3 linked regions of the Drosophila melanogaster genome follow. The protein of the gene in region 3 interacts with the protein of the main gene of each other region in a pairwise test. Each region holds a gene or a part of one and is shown on either strand. Other genes may lie near its edges.

The links.
Region 1: the proteins of AdipoR (region 3) and Debcl interact in a two-hybrid assay, tested with the Drosophila melanogaster proteins (one large-scale study listed by BioGRID).
Region 2: the proteins of AdipoR (region 3) and Acp26Aa interact in a two-hybrid assay, tested with the Drosophila melanogaster proteins (one large-scale study listed by BioGRID).

The regions. Positions count from the first base shown.
Region 1 is NT_033778.4:6,646,822-6,653,416, forward strand, and holds Debcl (death executioner Bcl-2), read left to right. Parts: upstream 1-1,832; 5' UTR 1,833-2,457; coding exon 2,458-2,757; intron 2,758-5,167; coding exon 5,168-5,311; intron 5,312-5,366; coding exon 5,367-5,825; 3' UTR 5,826-6,021; downstream 6,022-6,595. Other genes in the region: Opbp (Optix-binding protein), read left to right, coding at 6,494-6,500, 6,552-6,595.
Region 2 is NT_033779.5:5,892,318-5,895,678, forward strand, and holds Acp26Aa (accessory gland protein 26Aa), read right to left. Parts: upstream 1,580-3,361; 5' UTR 1,555-1,579; coding exon 1,521-1,554; intron 1,465-1,520; coding exon 704-1,464; 3' UTR 566-703; downstream 1-565. Other genes in the region: Acp26Ab (accessory gland protein 26Ab), read right to left, coding at 187-428, 490-520. UniProt on the Drosophila melanogaster protein: Male seminal protein which enhances ovulation in female Drosophila by stimulating the release of oocytes by the ovary following mating.
Region 3 is NT_033777.3:22,543,062-22,549,638, reverse strand, and holds AdipoR (adiponectin receptor), read left to right. Parts: upstream 1-1,792; 5' UTR 1,793-1,980; intron 1,981-2,073; exon of another isoform or gene 2,074-2,255; intron 2,256-2,440; exon of another isoform or gene 2,441-2,515; 5' UTR 2,516-2,561; coding exon 2,562-2,927; intron 2,928-3,365; exon of another isoform or gene 3,366-3,552; intron 3,553-3,607; exon of another isoform or gene 3,608-3,643; coding exon of another isoform or gene 3,644-3,763; intron 3,764-3,855; coding exon 3,856-3,954; intron 3,955-4,168; coding exon 4,169-4,521; intron 4,522-4,579; coding exon 4,580-4,881; intron 4,882-4,944; coding exon 4,945-5,024; intron 5,025-5,081; coding exon 5,082-5,216; 3' UTR 5,217-5,946; downstream 5,947-6,577. UniProt on the Drosophila melanogaster protein: Adiponectin receptor. In insulin-producing cells, regulates insulin secretion and controls glucose and lipid metabolism.

The sequences.
Region 1 (6,595 bases), on a different chromosome or scaffold from region 3:
CAAGGAATCTTTTGGGTCCCAACCGGAATGTGCGTTTATTGATCCGAAACCAAAGTCCTCCACGGGTAATATCGCCTCCAAAAGGAGCGACCGATGCTTGCATCGCTGATCTCAGATCTTAGATCGAAGAATACGGACAATAATCGTTTAGAGATAAAAGATCCAAAATTTGCGAACATCACATTTATAAGTTTGTAGTTCGCTCCCCCACAGTCTTGATATTGGCGGCAAGATGTTCTCTCGAAAAGCTTATTCCAGAGCTTTTCGTTTCGATAAAAGTTGGACTGCAGATCTGAAAGAAAGTATAATATGTAAATATCTTGAGAAGTTAATAAAATGGGTGATAAAGTAATACGACATTGGTAATTATCAAAATAGTCGGTATTCGGATTTGGAACCGGCGGAACGATGCTTCTTAGATTGATCTGATTCAATAGTTCGGTTAGATTCATTTAAAAAATCTTACATAAGCTTAAAAAACGAGAACGACACCTTTATCGTCCTAGTCCGATACACTGCAAAAATTCGCGTATCAGCGTTATTTTTATCAAAAAAATTATCTTTTTGTTACGAACGCGTAAGCAATTCAAGGTGGGATTAATCCTAAATGTGGGGATAGTTCAGCAAACTAACATTATAAAGAATATTTAATTACACACGTTACTCATCATAAAAAAGGATAACTAACCGAGTCGGTCTGGCCATGTCAATCTGGCAAGCAGATTCTACACACGACTGTGGAAGATTGTTTGAGAACGTTGCTATGCAATCGCTAATGCACAAAACTGTTACAACTACATTTTTGAAACAAGTCGGTATTTTTTCCATTTTATTGAATTATTTAGTTTATTGATCCAACGAAACGAAAGTCCTCCTCGAGTAATATCACCTCCAAAAGGGGCGACCGATGCCTGCATCTCTTATCTGAGATCATAGATCGAAGCCTACGGACATTTATCGTTTAGTGATAAAATATTTAAGTTTTTGAACATCACATTTAGCAGTTTGGAGATCGCTCCCTTACAGTTTTGAAATTGGCGGCAATAGCTTTCTGGTTCCATAACAGTTTTAGATCCGAAAGTAAGTATAATATATCTTGAGAAGTTAATCAAATGGTTGTCAGAGTAATACATCGTTGGTGAAAAAAATTTGGTTTCCATTTTACAATTATATCAAAGCAATCGGTATTCGGTTTCGAGAGCGAAGCCGTTATTTCGAAACCGTTACCGCGAACCGGTTCCCAGCGAGCCGCGGCTCGCCAGTCGCGAAAACACAACGAATGCACAATCTAGAGGTGGAGAAATATTGATGTTGGCGGGCATCAAAGCTTCCAATGTTTTTGGCGAAAAACATCGATGTTTAAAATAAAAACAACAAAATTTACCTGCTTAATTTAATGATTATTTTTTAATATTGCTTAAATAAAAAGGCAGTACTTTAAGAAAAGAAAAACAAACTTATTGTCGTCTCCGTTTTCATCAGCCGCTGGTCCAATAGTTGCTCCTATAAAACAAATTAATACAATTAAATGGAAAAGTAAACCAGTATGCATACGAGCAACTGCAAGTGCACAAATCGGGAGTTCAAAACTAACATTTCAGATATTAATCCATGTGCTATGTTATGCTTTTAATAATTGCATTAGAAAATATGGAAAATTAATTTGTACTTACAATTCATACACTTTTCTTCTCCGATGCGCAGTAGAGATGGAAAAACATCGATGTTTTCTCGAAAAACATCGATGTTTATGATTTTTCAAAAACATCGATGTTTCTCCACCTCTACAACGAACGCACAATCACAAGCGCCGCTCGCGAGAACGAGAACGGGAACTCGAAAGAACCTAGATCGCTGATCGGAGAACCGTGGAACCCGTGGAACCGTAACCGTGAAAGTGGGGAATCGAAGATAGAACGGAGAGGGTGGTAGGCCGATTCCCTCTCCCCACTGCCCGTTGAAATTCAGAATACTAAGCTCTCGGTTAAACGCGGCGAAAAAGAAAGCAAGCTCTGAGCGGCTGAAAAAAAAATGAAGTGAAATAAAACTGGGATCGCGGCACCAGCAACAAGTTTTAGTGGCTCTTCTTTGTGCGTTTCGTTCGTGTTTGCTGCCCTGCGCTTTGCTCGCCACATTCGTCGCCGACTTTTATTTTGTTTTGCCCATTTTATCAGAATCGGAGCACCTCCAAAAAAGCCCAAGACGAGCTGAGCCTCAGCTGCGTCGAGGTGAGCTGATCCACTCCGCTCCCCTTTCGTGCGCTGCCCACCGCTCCCCACCGCTCACACCCGATCCCATCCAATCCAATCCGATCCGCTCCGCTCCGAGTGCATAGTGCATGCAAAGTCGCGGGGCTGGGCTTTCGGAATTACACAACCCACATGGGGCAGCGCCAACAAAGGCCTCAGCAGCAACAATAGCGGGCAGCCAAGCATTGCCCTGCCCTCGACTTCGACCATGGCTCCCACCACCAGTCCGCCACCCAAGCTGGCCAAGTTCAAGTCCTCGTCGCTGGACCACGAGATCTACACGGCCAATCGCCGCGGCACCATTGCCACGGCCTCCAGCGACTGGAAGGCGCTCCGCGGAGGCGTCGGTGGAGGAGCAGGAGGACCCGGTAGCGTACCCAATCCCTCTAACGGACGCTCCCTTCACGCCGGCGGACCCATGACACGGGCCGCCTCCACATCCTCGCTGGCTAGCAGTACGCGCACGATGACTAACTACCAGGAGTACAAAATGGATATCATCAACCAGGTGAGGACCAGAAATGGGTGACCAGTGGCTCCGTCCTTTGCTATGGACAATTTGGGAATTATTTAGTTGAAGTCTTGAGAGTATGCTGGGACTGTTGCCTTATAAAGTAAGCGTCTGATTCAGCATATGTTCAAAAAAATTTACGAGTGTTACTCAGCCAATGGAATTGCAAGGAAGTTAAATAGGGAGATATTCACCAGCAAAGTGAGTGTTTCAGCAAGGAACTATTGAATGCCTTGGATTAGCTTTAATCTTTTGCAGAATTCTAGAATTCCGATGGGTATTCTTAAATATAAGACCAATTCGTACACATAGAGGCAGCTATGTATGTATGTATGTGGTCCAGACCAAGCAGATGTCTTCCTTATAGGCCAGAATTCTCTAAAATTATACAATTACAGTCATTTCGGTTGGAAAATTAGAAAAACTAAGCCAAGATAATACAAATTAAATTTGCAAGTGGTTTTAAAAGCATTATGAACTTTAGCGGTCAAGGCTTTGTTACAAATAATTTATATTCTTTTGACAAGTTTTCAGGGCTCATATGCATTGTTTTAATGTTGAAATTTACAATAGATACTTCTTCGATAAATAAGACTTCTTATAGTTCATAGCAATGCGCCTGGTGATATAAAAGTTTAATCAACACAAATACTTAAATTTCTTAAGAGGTTGAGGACATGTGCTTTACTTTAAGGTGTAATTATTTTAAACATGACTCGGTTTCAACCCACATTTAAATATATAGTTTTGCGTTAAAATAGTTAAAAACCTTGATAATAGTTATATATATTAGTTGTTATAGTTATTCTATTCCAGCCTTATGTTGCCACTCAATGTTTTTTTTTTAAATTATTTTAAGTAATATCTAACGTTATCAACATAGAATGAGTCAGAAAATAAACTGGTCATGCATCGGAACATGTGCACATAATTAAAACCGATTTTTGAGACATACATATAAATACAACAGTTTGGTGATTAAATATTCAGCAAGTACGCAAAATGAGAAACACAACACAAAACTAAAAGAAAAAGCTGTTCAAACAAATTGCCTAATTTCGTGGACAAATTTCGAAATTGCCAAAATGAAACGGAACAGACAACTGCAAACAGATTCCAATTTAATGTGCAGAACTGTTTGCGGTATCAACTAATTTTCGATGGCTCTGATCGAGGACGATCCATCCGAATCTCTGCTATCCACCATTTGGGTCTTGACTGTCTCAACTTAATTGATAAGGCAAATATTTTTGTTTCCACCATTCGTTTATCTGAGACTGATAAAACTATTTACTCCGCTCCTCCAGGTGAGCGACATGTAAAGTGTTTATTAAATATATTTGCCTATGTGGTTGCTTTCGCCGGGCTGATAACTTCTTGAGGAATTTATCATTAAGCGCATTGCGGAAGTTTTCTCAGAATGCAGTCCTCTAAAGTAAACGCCATTTTCTCTGACAAATCAGATGGAATGGGCCATAACCAGGCTGCATAGAGGTTTTCAAGGAAAATAATAGCAACTAAAGAAAAGGGAAGAACCGCGAAAGCGCCACGGGTGGAACCATTATAAACAAGTATTCCAAAAATAAACCGACCACTAACTATACAACCCGAAAGCCTCAGGTGATGAATTCATCGAACTCTGGCCATTCAAGTAAATCTTATGGTATTTGGTCGCACCAAACCCGCCAAAAGGAAAGAGTTGGGCGCACAAGTGTTCGCCATAACAAGATCACGTAAACAAATTGACGGATTTATTAATATTTCGCTGGGAGGCTGGACGGGTTCGGAGTAGCTTCGATAGACTTTTCAAGACACTAGCTTCAAGGCCGGTGATTTGGCATGGGCTTGATTTCTTTGGCTGGCCATGTCATAAGTCAAGTTGGCTCCAAAGTGAGTAATTGTCTGTTTACTTGGCTGCGGAATCGTTGGCGTGACGAACGGTAATTGTGCGACATAAATTGTCGAAGGAAACTTGCAACTAAATGGGTCGGAATTGAACGCAACATGGTGGGGAATGCCTTAATTACGCCAAACGTTTCGCGTCTTTCAGATTCCATAAGTAAATTTTTAGTTGTCTTAATGCCTTTCCACAGCACGTGCTGATCGCTTCTTTTGTTTAAGTCGTTGTTCAAAGTTTATTACCGCCATGTGCACCTGCCATCAGTTTGGCTGCATGTTTAGATACTCTGTAAGAGGTGTGATTGAAATAGCCCAGGTGTCTACGGAATCCTGTAAACGGATTCAGAGCGACGTAAATAGAACATATGCATGTTCGCCGGAAAACTCGAGGCAGTCGATTGATATTGTTTAAGTGGCCCGCTGATGGAGCGAAATTGCCTGGCAATGATCAAAGCACTGTAGTTAATTTGATTGTGATTGAACTTTTGGCTTTGTCGTTCTATTCCAGGGGAAATGTCTGTGTGGTCAGTACATCAGAGCGCGGCTGCGACGGGCAGGAGTCCTCAACCGGAAGGTGACACAGCGTTTGCGCAACATCCTGGACCCCGGCTCCTCGCACGTGGTCTATGAAGTTTTCCCGGCACTGAACAGCGTGAGTGTACTGCCATTCGCCATTGAATCTTTTCATAACATGGTATAATCCACAGATGGGCGAGGAACTGGAGCGGATGCACCCGCGGGTGTACACAAACATATCGCGACAGCTGTCGAGGGCCCCGTTTGGCGAGCTGGAGGACAGCGACATGGCGCCCATGTTGCTCAACCTAGTTGCCAAGGATCTTTTTCGCTCCAGCATCACCTGGGGCAAGATAATCTCGATATTTGCCGTATGCGGCGGCTTTGCCATAGACTGCGTGCGCCAGGGACATTTCGACTACCTACAGTGCCTGATTGACGGTCTGGCTGAGATCATAGAGGACGACCTGGTCTACTGGCTGATCGACAACGGCGGATGGTTGGGCCTGTCGCGGCACATCCGACCCCGGGTCGGCGAATTTACGTTCTTGGGATGGTTGACGCTGTTCGTGACTATCTCTGCAGGCGCATATATGGTCTCAAACGTGTGTCGGCGCATTGGAGGTCAACTGTATTCGCTGCTGTTCTAGATTCGCTTGGGATCGCGTCGTTAAGAAATACAATCGTACCATTTAGTCAATGAGAGCTTCAAATCATTCCTGCTTCCATGGGCACCAGTCGTTTAGTAGTATGTAACGGACCCTGTTTTACGTATAATATTGTTATTCCCTTTCTCCTCTTTTTGTACATACAAGGCTATTCTAGGCGCAATAAAGCGTGTGTTGTAAACTTTTTTTTCGAATTTGGCGCGAAGTCTGGGTGTTATGCACGGAACTGCATTACTTTATGTCCGTGTTTAGCAACACTGGAAACGCCGTGGAGGTGCCAATATTTTGAGTACGACAATTCGTCTTTAAAATGTTATAGTGCCCAATCTTTGACTGTTGAACAGTGTATCTGTTACCAGAAATTAAAGACGAATCGACTAACATAATCTCTCAGTTAAACAAAAAATATAAAAGTTAACTTTGCTGACAAAAGTTTTTATAATTTTGTAATTACTGGTTCAATGTTCTAGTCTTTAAAATAAATGTTATTAACATTTTAAATTTTGATTGTTAGCCTTGCCACCCAGCTAAAACGCAAATACTTACCCAGCCCTGTGGCAACGCTTCGATTTCCAAAAACCATTTGTTATTATTGCTGTGGATCTGCCCATTATTATTTGTTGTAAATAAAGATTGGAGCAAATTATGCCATGTCATGTAAGTGCACTGATTCCGTGGGTATGAACGTCGAGTAACATGCACTTGCAGCGTCCAACCAGGCCGAGGAGACTACCCCGAACCTCCACGTGGAG
Region 2 (3,361 bases), on a different chromosome or scaffold from region 3:
TCTTATTTCAAAAGCTTCTTAGAGTCCATGTCCATTATAATATGGTAAATACTTTATTTGGGTTATTATATCTTTTAAATGATATATTACATATTGCATAGATACATAATATTTTGCTTGAAGTAACTGCGGTTAAAAAGCATATGCAATAATCGCTGTTTAAGATATTTGCTGGTGAATCCAAAATTATGCCATGTTCAGTTGCTGGCGCACACTCTCTATTTCATCAGGACTCATGACATCCGAGTTGAAGTCTGCTTTGTGAGTTTGTATCAAATGCCCAGTCGCATCGTTCACACTATCCTGAACACTGTAGTCGTATAGGGTTCTCAACATGCCATTCATCACTTTCTGGGATCTTGATTGTGAACTAGACTGAACGCTTATAAAGGGGGCAGCATCGCTAAATTGCCAAAGGCAAATGCAGGCTAAGTGATGAAAACTAAATTAGGCAAACTCTAAGAACCTCGAAGATCCTTACGAACTTACAGAAAATGCAGATCACCGCGAAGTAGTTCATTGTGGAAACGTATTCTCTAGACTGTAAAGAATCCAACCAGCACTTGGCCTAAGCGTTATGAATCGCATTTATTACGGCTAACAAGATCAGAAAAATAAGTAAGTGCGCAATTAGAAGGTCTTGCAATGACTCAATACTATTGTTTCTGTTCTTAAATGATGGGAAACCATATGATTTTAACTATTAAAGTGTTGGTAGATTCCCTTGGGAAGGATTTGTCTCCGTGGGTACATCGGTAGCGACTTTCGCGATTTCGTTATTGATCTTCTGACTAAGTTCTTTCAGAAGTGTTAGATATTTGTTACGGTAAGTGTTCCTGACGTTGGCTTCCTGAAACTGATTGGCGGCAGGTGGGGCGCTATCCTTACTAGAACGTTTCTTACACGGCTTTGTGGACTTTCGAGTGTTTTGCAGTTGCCCATTCAATTCCAAAAGTCTGCGGTTCACAGTATTTAGCTCGAGCTCTAAATCGAGGTTTAACTGTCGTACTTTGATAATATCCGTTTTTCTGGCCTCTATTTCTTTCATCAAGTATATGGAATGGTTCCGGAGAAGTAAACTATTGTTCTGCTCCGTTAGTAACCTCTGTTGCAGGGCCTTGAGCGCACTTTGATTGGATCCTTGATTTTTTTCTTTTGCCGGGAAATCATCTAGTCCTTTATTGAAAGGAATATTATTCAAGTCAATGGAAGAGCTTTTTAGTGATTTGGACCTATTGATTGGATAATCATCCAGCGGCAAATCAGAAATATCGATATCCATTATATAATCGCCCTTTTTCGCATCTTTCAGAGCTACATCATCTTTGGCTATTTTGGCCTGTGTCTCATCATTCTTGGGAGCAACATTTTTCAGAGATGCACTTTTCGTAGAATCACTTTTCAGGTGCATAGCTGAATCGAGTTGTTGCTCACTATCGCAGCTTGCCACTGTAAAAAGCAGCACTAAACGAAAAGATACTCGTTCTTAAATGTGCTCAAAAATGCATAAGTCAACTTACGTAAAATTGGAGAGCATAATAAAATCTGGTTCATTTCGAAGAAGTGGCTTCAGCTGAAGTAAGGTATTATTGCATTCCTTATATATACGAATTTCATGTTACATAAGCGCTTTTGCAACGGCTCTTGTTTCGTTCTGCTTGATATTTATAAATATGATCTTGTAGTATTGCAATTTTCAAAAAAAAAAAAAACATCATCAAAATATATAAATATTCGTTGAATATACATTTTAGTCCTGTAGTATTCTAGATATTAAGATATATACATTTTTCTGGCCTCCGGACGGATATCTTCGGTTTTTTTTATAAGATTCTTCTTGGCATCGGGTGCTTTAGTCGAGGCTAACAATTTTAAGACTTACGCAGTTCAAACAAATATACAAAGAAAAATGCCATAGTCGAGTATTTATTGAAATAATATATGTAAATATCAAATTCTTAGACAATCAATTTAACATGGTTTTCAACAATATAAAAGCGAGAAAAGTGTTGGTTTCTTTGAATTGCTGGTCGATTAAGGAAAATACCGTGTTAATTATACAAAATATGTTTTTACTATACCTTAAAATAGTTGCTATGTAGTTATAGATGCTGTACATAATTAATTACATAAAATCCGGCAATGTATATCTGAGATCATTGAAGTCACGATATATGTGTTACCGATGCAAACGCAATTCCCAAGCCAAATTAAAGAAAAATAAAAAAAAAGCAGATCATAAAAACGAACCATTGTCTTTAGCTAAAAGTGAAACTGCAATTGAAAAAACTTTCAGCATCCGCAGAGCGGCTAGAATGAGAAAAAATTATACTAAAATTTCGCCCACATGTCCACATATGTAAATTGAAAGGTTGCGCCTGCGCACGCGTCAAATTGAAAGCGAAATTGAACGTGGGATTCAGAAAACTGAGGCATGGCCATCTCGTGGGCGATCGGTCACTCTGTGAATCGTTTTGGATCCCCCATTTTGGGTAGGTGGCCACTGTTAATTGTTTAAAACATAGCGATTTATGCGCAAGTTGCTCGCATTTTGCGTGGTGTCTACGGAACGCTGCTTAAATGGCCGCTGCTTTCCACAAATGGTCAAAAGTCTTTATGCCTTGTAAATGCCTTGTAATCTTGGTCAAGAATGGTGTTATACGGACAGCAAACTGGAATTTACCTTAGAAGGAGAACGGAACCCAACATATTTTAGATAACTGCGCATTTAAAATTCAATTAAGTGGAAAAATTCATCAGCTAATCTTGATGAGAAATAAACTATTTAAAACTTAACCATACTATAATTTATATTCAAAAAGTAAATAGAACAAAGAAAATTTAACTAGTATGGCTTGAAATCTCAAATGCACATCTTACTATATGAAGTTATGATTATGTTTATTAACGTCGTTAGATGATTTTCATAGTAACTTTAAGATAGCCTTCTTTATTCCCAGTCACACCATTCGCATACAAATCTTATGTCTTATTTCTCATTTTGATTGCCGTATTATAATGACAGTGGCTCTGTGCATGCGACTCCCATTTGAAGCTCGCTTTCCACTGAAGTTTTCGGTTTCAATTTCCCATGGCAGCGCATCCCACTCGCAGCAGGCACACATATGTATTCATCACTACGATTTTCATCGCTTTTCAGCCCGAGTTCGAGCTGAGCTCACGCTTTCATTTGCGTTCGGAAAATGACCTACTTCCGGATTAGCATGCCCGGGCCACTTTTACTGTCGCTCGATCTGGAAAAGGGCGATGGATGGAGGGAATGGGATAGGGAATGGGAGCCATGGCATCGATGGGCACCGACCAGGGGCAGAAGCTAATGAGGTTGTCGCCGTTGTATCCA
Region 3 (6,577 bases):
ATTTTTCTAAAAACATCTCTATAAAGAAATGCTTAAAAAATTATCTACATTTTTATAATAAAAATAGTTCCATTAGACCCTTTAAAAATAACCAAAATAATAACATTTTATATATAAGTTCCTGACACCACTTTTCTTTCTGTGTGCCAATTTCCAGCTACAAAATTGGCTTTAAATAAACCGCTAGACAATTGATTTATTATCGCCGTCACGTCATTGAGACGAACTCAATTGGCAGCATAGTTATAAGTGCTTATATATATATATATATATGTGCCAATGTGGGGGATGACACGCCCCAACTCCATAACCTGGCACTTAATTTAACTACGCAAATAGGGTTTACGGGCGCAGTTAACACATTTCCAGATCGATGGGAAGCGATTGTCCGTCCAATGAATGGGTCAATTTCACGCACTTACTCTCACCAGTCTCCCAGATTCCCAGGTGATTTGTGTGACCCATGGTGATCCATGTACTCCACCCACGTGCTAAGTGCCCGGTCAAATATGCAAATGTTTGCCGAGTTGGATGCACTGCAGCTGTGTTGGTCGCCACCCTTCCGGGTCTTTGGCATTTCCATTTCCATTTGAAGCACATTGGCCGTTTAGCATTTTTTGTCGCGCGCTCGTCATTCAAACAGAAACAGCTCGCATTATCGGCGCTTCTCTTTTGTGATTATGACCCTGAACTTCAGCGCTACTAAATGTATTAATTCAGTCGATTAATACCGCTAGTCGGGGTCTGTGCGAAATCTGCTCCTTGGCCGAGTTTCTAACGTAGCTGGTCAGAACGCCGAGAGCTGATGGATGATATTGGCCTGGATTGGTCAATAGGGTATATCATCTTGATGGGCTGCCCCTGAGCAAAGCAAGTTCTATAGTCTTATGTTTGAAATTGAATTTGTTTAACAAAGATGAATGACTCTTGACTAAACATATTGGCCTTTATGTGCAATAAATATTCTAAGGGCGCTATTAAAACGTAGTTAAATTGCGCTATTAAGAGCTTGCCAAACAAGTGAATCTTTATTGGGCCTGCAAGGCTGGTGATATTTCCTCACTAGCCAAACACCATTTTGTCTTCCCAATTAAGTTTCTTTATTATTAGAATTGTTATTTGCCTACATTTGTGGGTTTTTATAACACCGTAATGCTATTTCTAAAAAAGCTATAATTAGACATTCTTGTATTACTTTAATTAATTAATTTAAATATATATATTTTAAGTAAGCTGTGATGTTGTCTTTGTTGTCTTTGCAAAAGTGTCCAAGGAATGGCAGATATGTGCATACTTAAGTAGGTTAAATATCGGGGAACTACACATGCTAATTCATAACTACCAGGCTTAAGTTGAGTTCATTGTTGATGTTTTTTAATGAGATGCCTTAACATTTTTTGAAAACAATTTCTCTGTTACTGAAGTGTTTACAGACTAGAGGAAAATTTTCTATTCATATAATATACGTCTTGTAATTTCGTCACGGTAATTTCTCATGAAAAAAAAAACAAATGCCTGTTAGGTATTTACGCAAATATCCAATATTTGGTCAGTTGAAGTACCACCTTTGATCGCCAATAAAAAGTTGTTAGCTCTCAAAAATGTTGACTAATAATGAAAGCACCTTGTTTACCGGGAGCAATACGATTTGCTGGCAAGCATTTTCAAATATGGCGGGCGCTGCGCAGAGTTGCCACATTGTTTTACAGAGCTGTGACTACAAAGTAGCGTTAACAGCCGTTAACAGCTGCTGCGTCAAGGTATGACCGCATTTCCTCCGTTCCCATATGATTGCTAGTGATTTTCCCTATCGCGCTTGCAGTCACACTGGAAAAAACACAGAAAAAATTAAATTAAGGGAAAACAGATGAAAAACTGCAATTGCACGCAATTGAAGCAAGTGCAGCAAATAGTTTTTCGCGCCAGTGTTGACTCCTGGGCCTGCCGTCGAAGCCACGCCAACTGCGCGACTTTCGAGTGGTAAGTGAATAGTAACGAAACGCCAGTGAAATCGAGTGATTAATCGTTCGTTTGTGTTGTGACACTTTCTGTAACTTCGTATAAAAAAAATGGGAACTGCGCAAGTGGAGTGCAGGTGGGGGTTAAGCCAGTTGGTAGTATTCCACTCACACGTGGCCTTCTGGCTGCATTTTCCATGCACTTTGCTATCTATATAATGGTTTCCCCGAAATAGCAACTGCACCTTAACCCACTGAGGATCCCACTCGCATTTGAACACCATCTTATGTAAAAACGTAATTGGCAGCTAAGTTTCCTAAGTGATAAAACACACAAAGCTACCAGATACAGACTTATGTGCTACGTACAACCGATTTACTGGGGAACAAAGGTCGCGCCATACTATATAGCAATGCGATCGGAGCAGACCAATAAACAAATAAACAAATATCGCATTTCCCAGACGAGCTAGCGTTGAGCTAACAAACGCTTAGCATTGCTTTCGAACAACTAAATTCGTATGTATCGTATTGAACAGAACGTATTTCTCTTACAGAATACTATTTGCGGAGTGCAAAACGAATCCGCGGGATCGTAAGACCATGGATTCGGCCACTAATCTCCTCGAGCAACAGGGCTCAGCGGCTGATGTGAGTGGCGGGAGCCATCCCGCCGAGGTGGAGGTAACCACCCAGGCTCGAGCCACTTTCGGCATGGACGCCGAAGGACATGCTACCGGCGAGGCGGTGACCACCACCACGGCCACCTTGCGTAGAGAAGGTTCAGACGAGGATATCTTTGAGCAGGTGCAGATGATCCTGCGCAAGCGACGTGGCTGGGGACCGGAGGACTCGCTTAGCCCCAATGATCTGGACATTCTGGAGTACGACGATGAGTTGGTCGAGGAGGATGACGCCGGTTGTCCACTCCCCTCGACCCCGGAGGACACACAGCTTATTGAGGCGGAGGTGAGTTGGGGCTATTAACCTTTATTTCCATTTTCCACCAGGTGGAAAAGTACGAAATGCAATCGTCAAAACATGTGGCGGAGCTCTTATCGCTGACCTACCACCATGTGGTTATCGGCTGCCACTTGTTAGTCGCAATTTTCCCTCTGCGCAGGCAGTCATTTCAATGTCGGGCGTCTTATCAATCGAAATGTTGCATTGGCCAATGTCTATTTGCCACATGCAAAATGTACCATAACCATTGTACTTAAACCTTATCGTGGCCATTTCTCCATTTTTATGACTCACTAAATACAATTGCTCAATTTAAAGCATATTCCATAGCCATTTGAAAGTTATACCTCTTATCTCTCCTTGCCTTTAATGTCTGTCCGAAAGGTGTCAAGTAAAATTTCTTGACTTTGAGCCTTATACTCTAGACAATCTGCCCGTTTGATCACCGGCTTTAAAGGTCAGGCTTAGATTGAACGCAAAAAGCTTTGGCATAGCCCTTTATACGACAGATGCTGGAAAAAAATCACAAATTTACGTCGATGCGGTGCTGATAATGCCCGGAGTCAGTTTCGGGCAAGCTTATCTTATCGCGGAACGCATTCGGTGCTTTCTTGTTCCGCCAACAAATTGAGTATGCGACTGGCAGAGGCTTCACAGTACAATCGCTCATTGCCTCGCACATTTAGTTCTAGTTCCGTTCGAATCTCTGTTAGCCGCTCAAGATGCAGACCCAGCCGGAGGTTATAGTGCGTGTCAACCCGGATCTGGAGCCGGATCTCAGTCAAGAAACTTACAGAACCCAAAACCCTGACACAGTCAAGGAGCAAGCTGAAAATGCAGTCGTTAGTCCCATTTGCTCTTAGTTTTTCTTTGTTATTAAGCTTTTTATATTTGTTTTGAGAGCTGTTTAATGTCTTATCACTCTATTCCACAGATGACGGAAGTGCTGAAGGCCGGAGTTCTCTCCGATGAAATTGATTTGGGCGCATTGGCACACAATGCCGCCGAGCAGGCAGAGGAGTTTGTGCGCAAGGTAAGCCAAGTGATGCTGCCAAGTGAAGAATGGCTTAAATGGAAGATACTCTTCAAGATTTGTAATATTGTAGCTTTTGTATTTTTGTTTTTATTTCAATAAATAGTATTAAGTGTTGGGACTGTATTTTTTGTTGTTGTTGTTTGTTTATAGTTACCAAACGTAATGTCTTATCTATAGAATGATATGTTATTTTTTTCCATTTCATCCGTAGGTCTGGGAGGCTAGCTGGAAAGTGTGCCACTACAAAAATCTACCCAAGTGGCTGCAGGATAACGACTTCCTACACCGCGGCCATCGCCCACCGCTCCCCTCTTTCCGTGCGTGCTTTAAATCAATTTTCCGCGTGCACACGGAAACGGGCAACATCTGGACACATCTTCTTGGCTGCATCGCCTTCATCGGCGTGGCATTATACTTCATCTCGCGTCCCTCGGTTGAGATCCAGACACAGGAGAAGATCGTTTTTGGCGCCTTCTTTATCGGTGCGATTGTGTGCCTAGGATTCTCATTCGCTTTTCACACACTGAGCTGTCATTCTGTAGAGATGGGAAGACTGTTTTCTAAGTAAGTATTCCTCGACTAATTAAATGGATATTATGTTAATTGTTTTGTTTACCAACAGACTTGACTACTGTGGAATTGCGCTGCTGATCATGGGTTCCTTTGTGCCTTGGCTGTACTATGGCTTCTACTGTCATTACCAGCCAAAGGTGATATACCTATCCGTTGTTAGCATTCTGGGCATCCTCTCCATCGTGGTCTCGCTATGGGACAAGTTTTCGGAGCCGGCACTTCGTCCCTTGCGCGCTGGCGTATTTATGAGCTTTGGCCTGTCGGGTGTGATTCCAGCTATTCACTACAGCATCATGGAGGGCTGGTTCAGCCAGATGAGCCGCGCCAGTCTGGGATGGCTAATTCTGATGGGTGAGTGCTTGTAGATATGCATATTAAAATAATGGTAAAACAATGGCAAAATACATCTTGCAGGCCTCCTCTACATTCTGGGCGCACTGCTGTACGCCCTCCGTGTTCCCGAACGCTGGTTCCCTGGAAAGTTTGACATTTGGGTACGATTCTTGATGGTTTTGTCCTTTGCACCGTTCTAACAGTCTTTTATTTTGCAGGGTCAATCACATCAAATATTCCACATACTGGTCATTGCGGCCGCTTTTGTCCACTACCATGGCATCTCTGAAATGGCCATGTACCGCGTCATGTATAGCGAATGCACTGTTCCCATCGAACCAATAACCTTTTAGATGCTGAAGTGGATGCCAAGAAACAATCATCGTAAAAGCACATACAATCCCATTCATAGTACGAGTAAAACATATATTAATGCGAACTAGCGCAGTTTTACAATGCAACCTTTTTAGCGTTTGGGGAGCATTTGTACCTTGTTATACAAAATCAACGGAACCATATAGAAGACAAAAACACACACTTAACACACAATTACACGCATTTATCATCAAAATCTTGCATAGAAAAAAAAAAATTGCAAAACCAGTTGATTGTCGAATGAAATCTGCAGTAGAGAAATTAATATATGTACAATTATTTATAAAATTCCAATTTGTCTACTTAATGTTGTCGTAAGTTGATTTACATTTCGAGTAGTGCAGAATTGCTTGCATCTGAAATTGGCAAAACGAGATGACTTCCGCTCAAGGGTTCCATTGCTAAAACAGGATCTAAAGGAGCTACCATGTCAGCCAAGCAATTACTTTAAGTTATGCAATTAGATGATCCCCTTGTGGCATTAGTATTTACCTTACCGCTTAGAGTTGTTAGGGTTGTATGGAGTAATGAACATACGTTTCATCGTTAAATGAGGTCTGATTTTATATTCACACATATACACAGCACATCACAAATTCCGCATCCCTGCACCCACACGGCAGAGCATCGCGCATGGAGCCTAAGATATTATATCACCATATACATTATAAATGCAGATCTATCACAAAACATAAAGCGAATCAAAACAATAAAAAAAAAAGCTGAGACTTCTAAAAGAGCGTTTTGGTGAAGATTGCTATATTAAGCCATATATAATTTTATTTCTTGGCGCAAAAACTATTTTAAGGTTTGCTGATTGCCATTGAGCAATTCGGCGGTTGCCATCACCCTAATGCCTGGCCATAAATATCGCTGCAGAGAACTAGAAATTCGCATCGGGGTTATTAGTGGAGTTCAGTCTGCTGATGACTGGGCGAATGCCGAGTTGACTTTGACCCCCTTGATGAAGTGAGCAGCCGTGGTCTAGTCGCCGAGATCTCGGATCGCGATCTGATTCCTCTGCTGCCTTGTGTTCTATGCGTCGTCATTGTCTTCGCCGTGTGCCAGTTTCTATCGACAAATCCGCAGATCGTTAAACCTTTTATTTTGCACGGCGCAAATAAATCGAACTTTGTACTTGACAACTTGTCGGCACGTGTCTTTCAACTAAATGCGATTGCAGGGGTTTTATTTTACAAACAAAAATTCAAGTTCAGCAGAAAAAAAAGCAAATGACTTGGTCGAAATAAGGCGAAAATCAGTTCGGAAGTTGGGCAAAGTGGGAGAAAACCAAAGCCAAAGAGAAATATTTTTAAAATGCCTTAATGAGGCGTAAGCA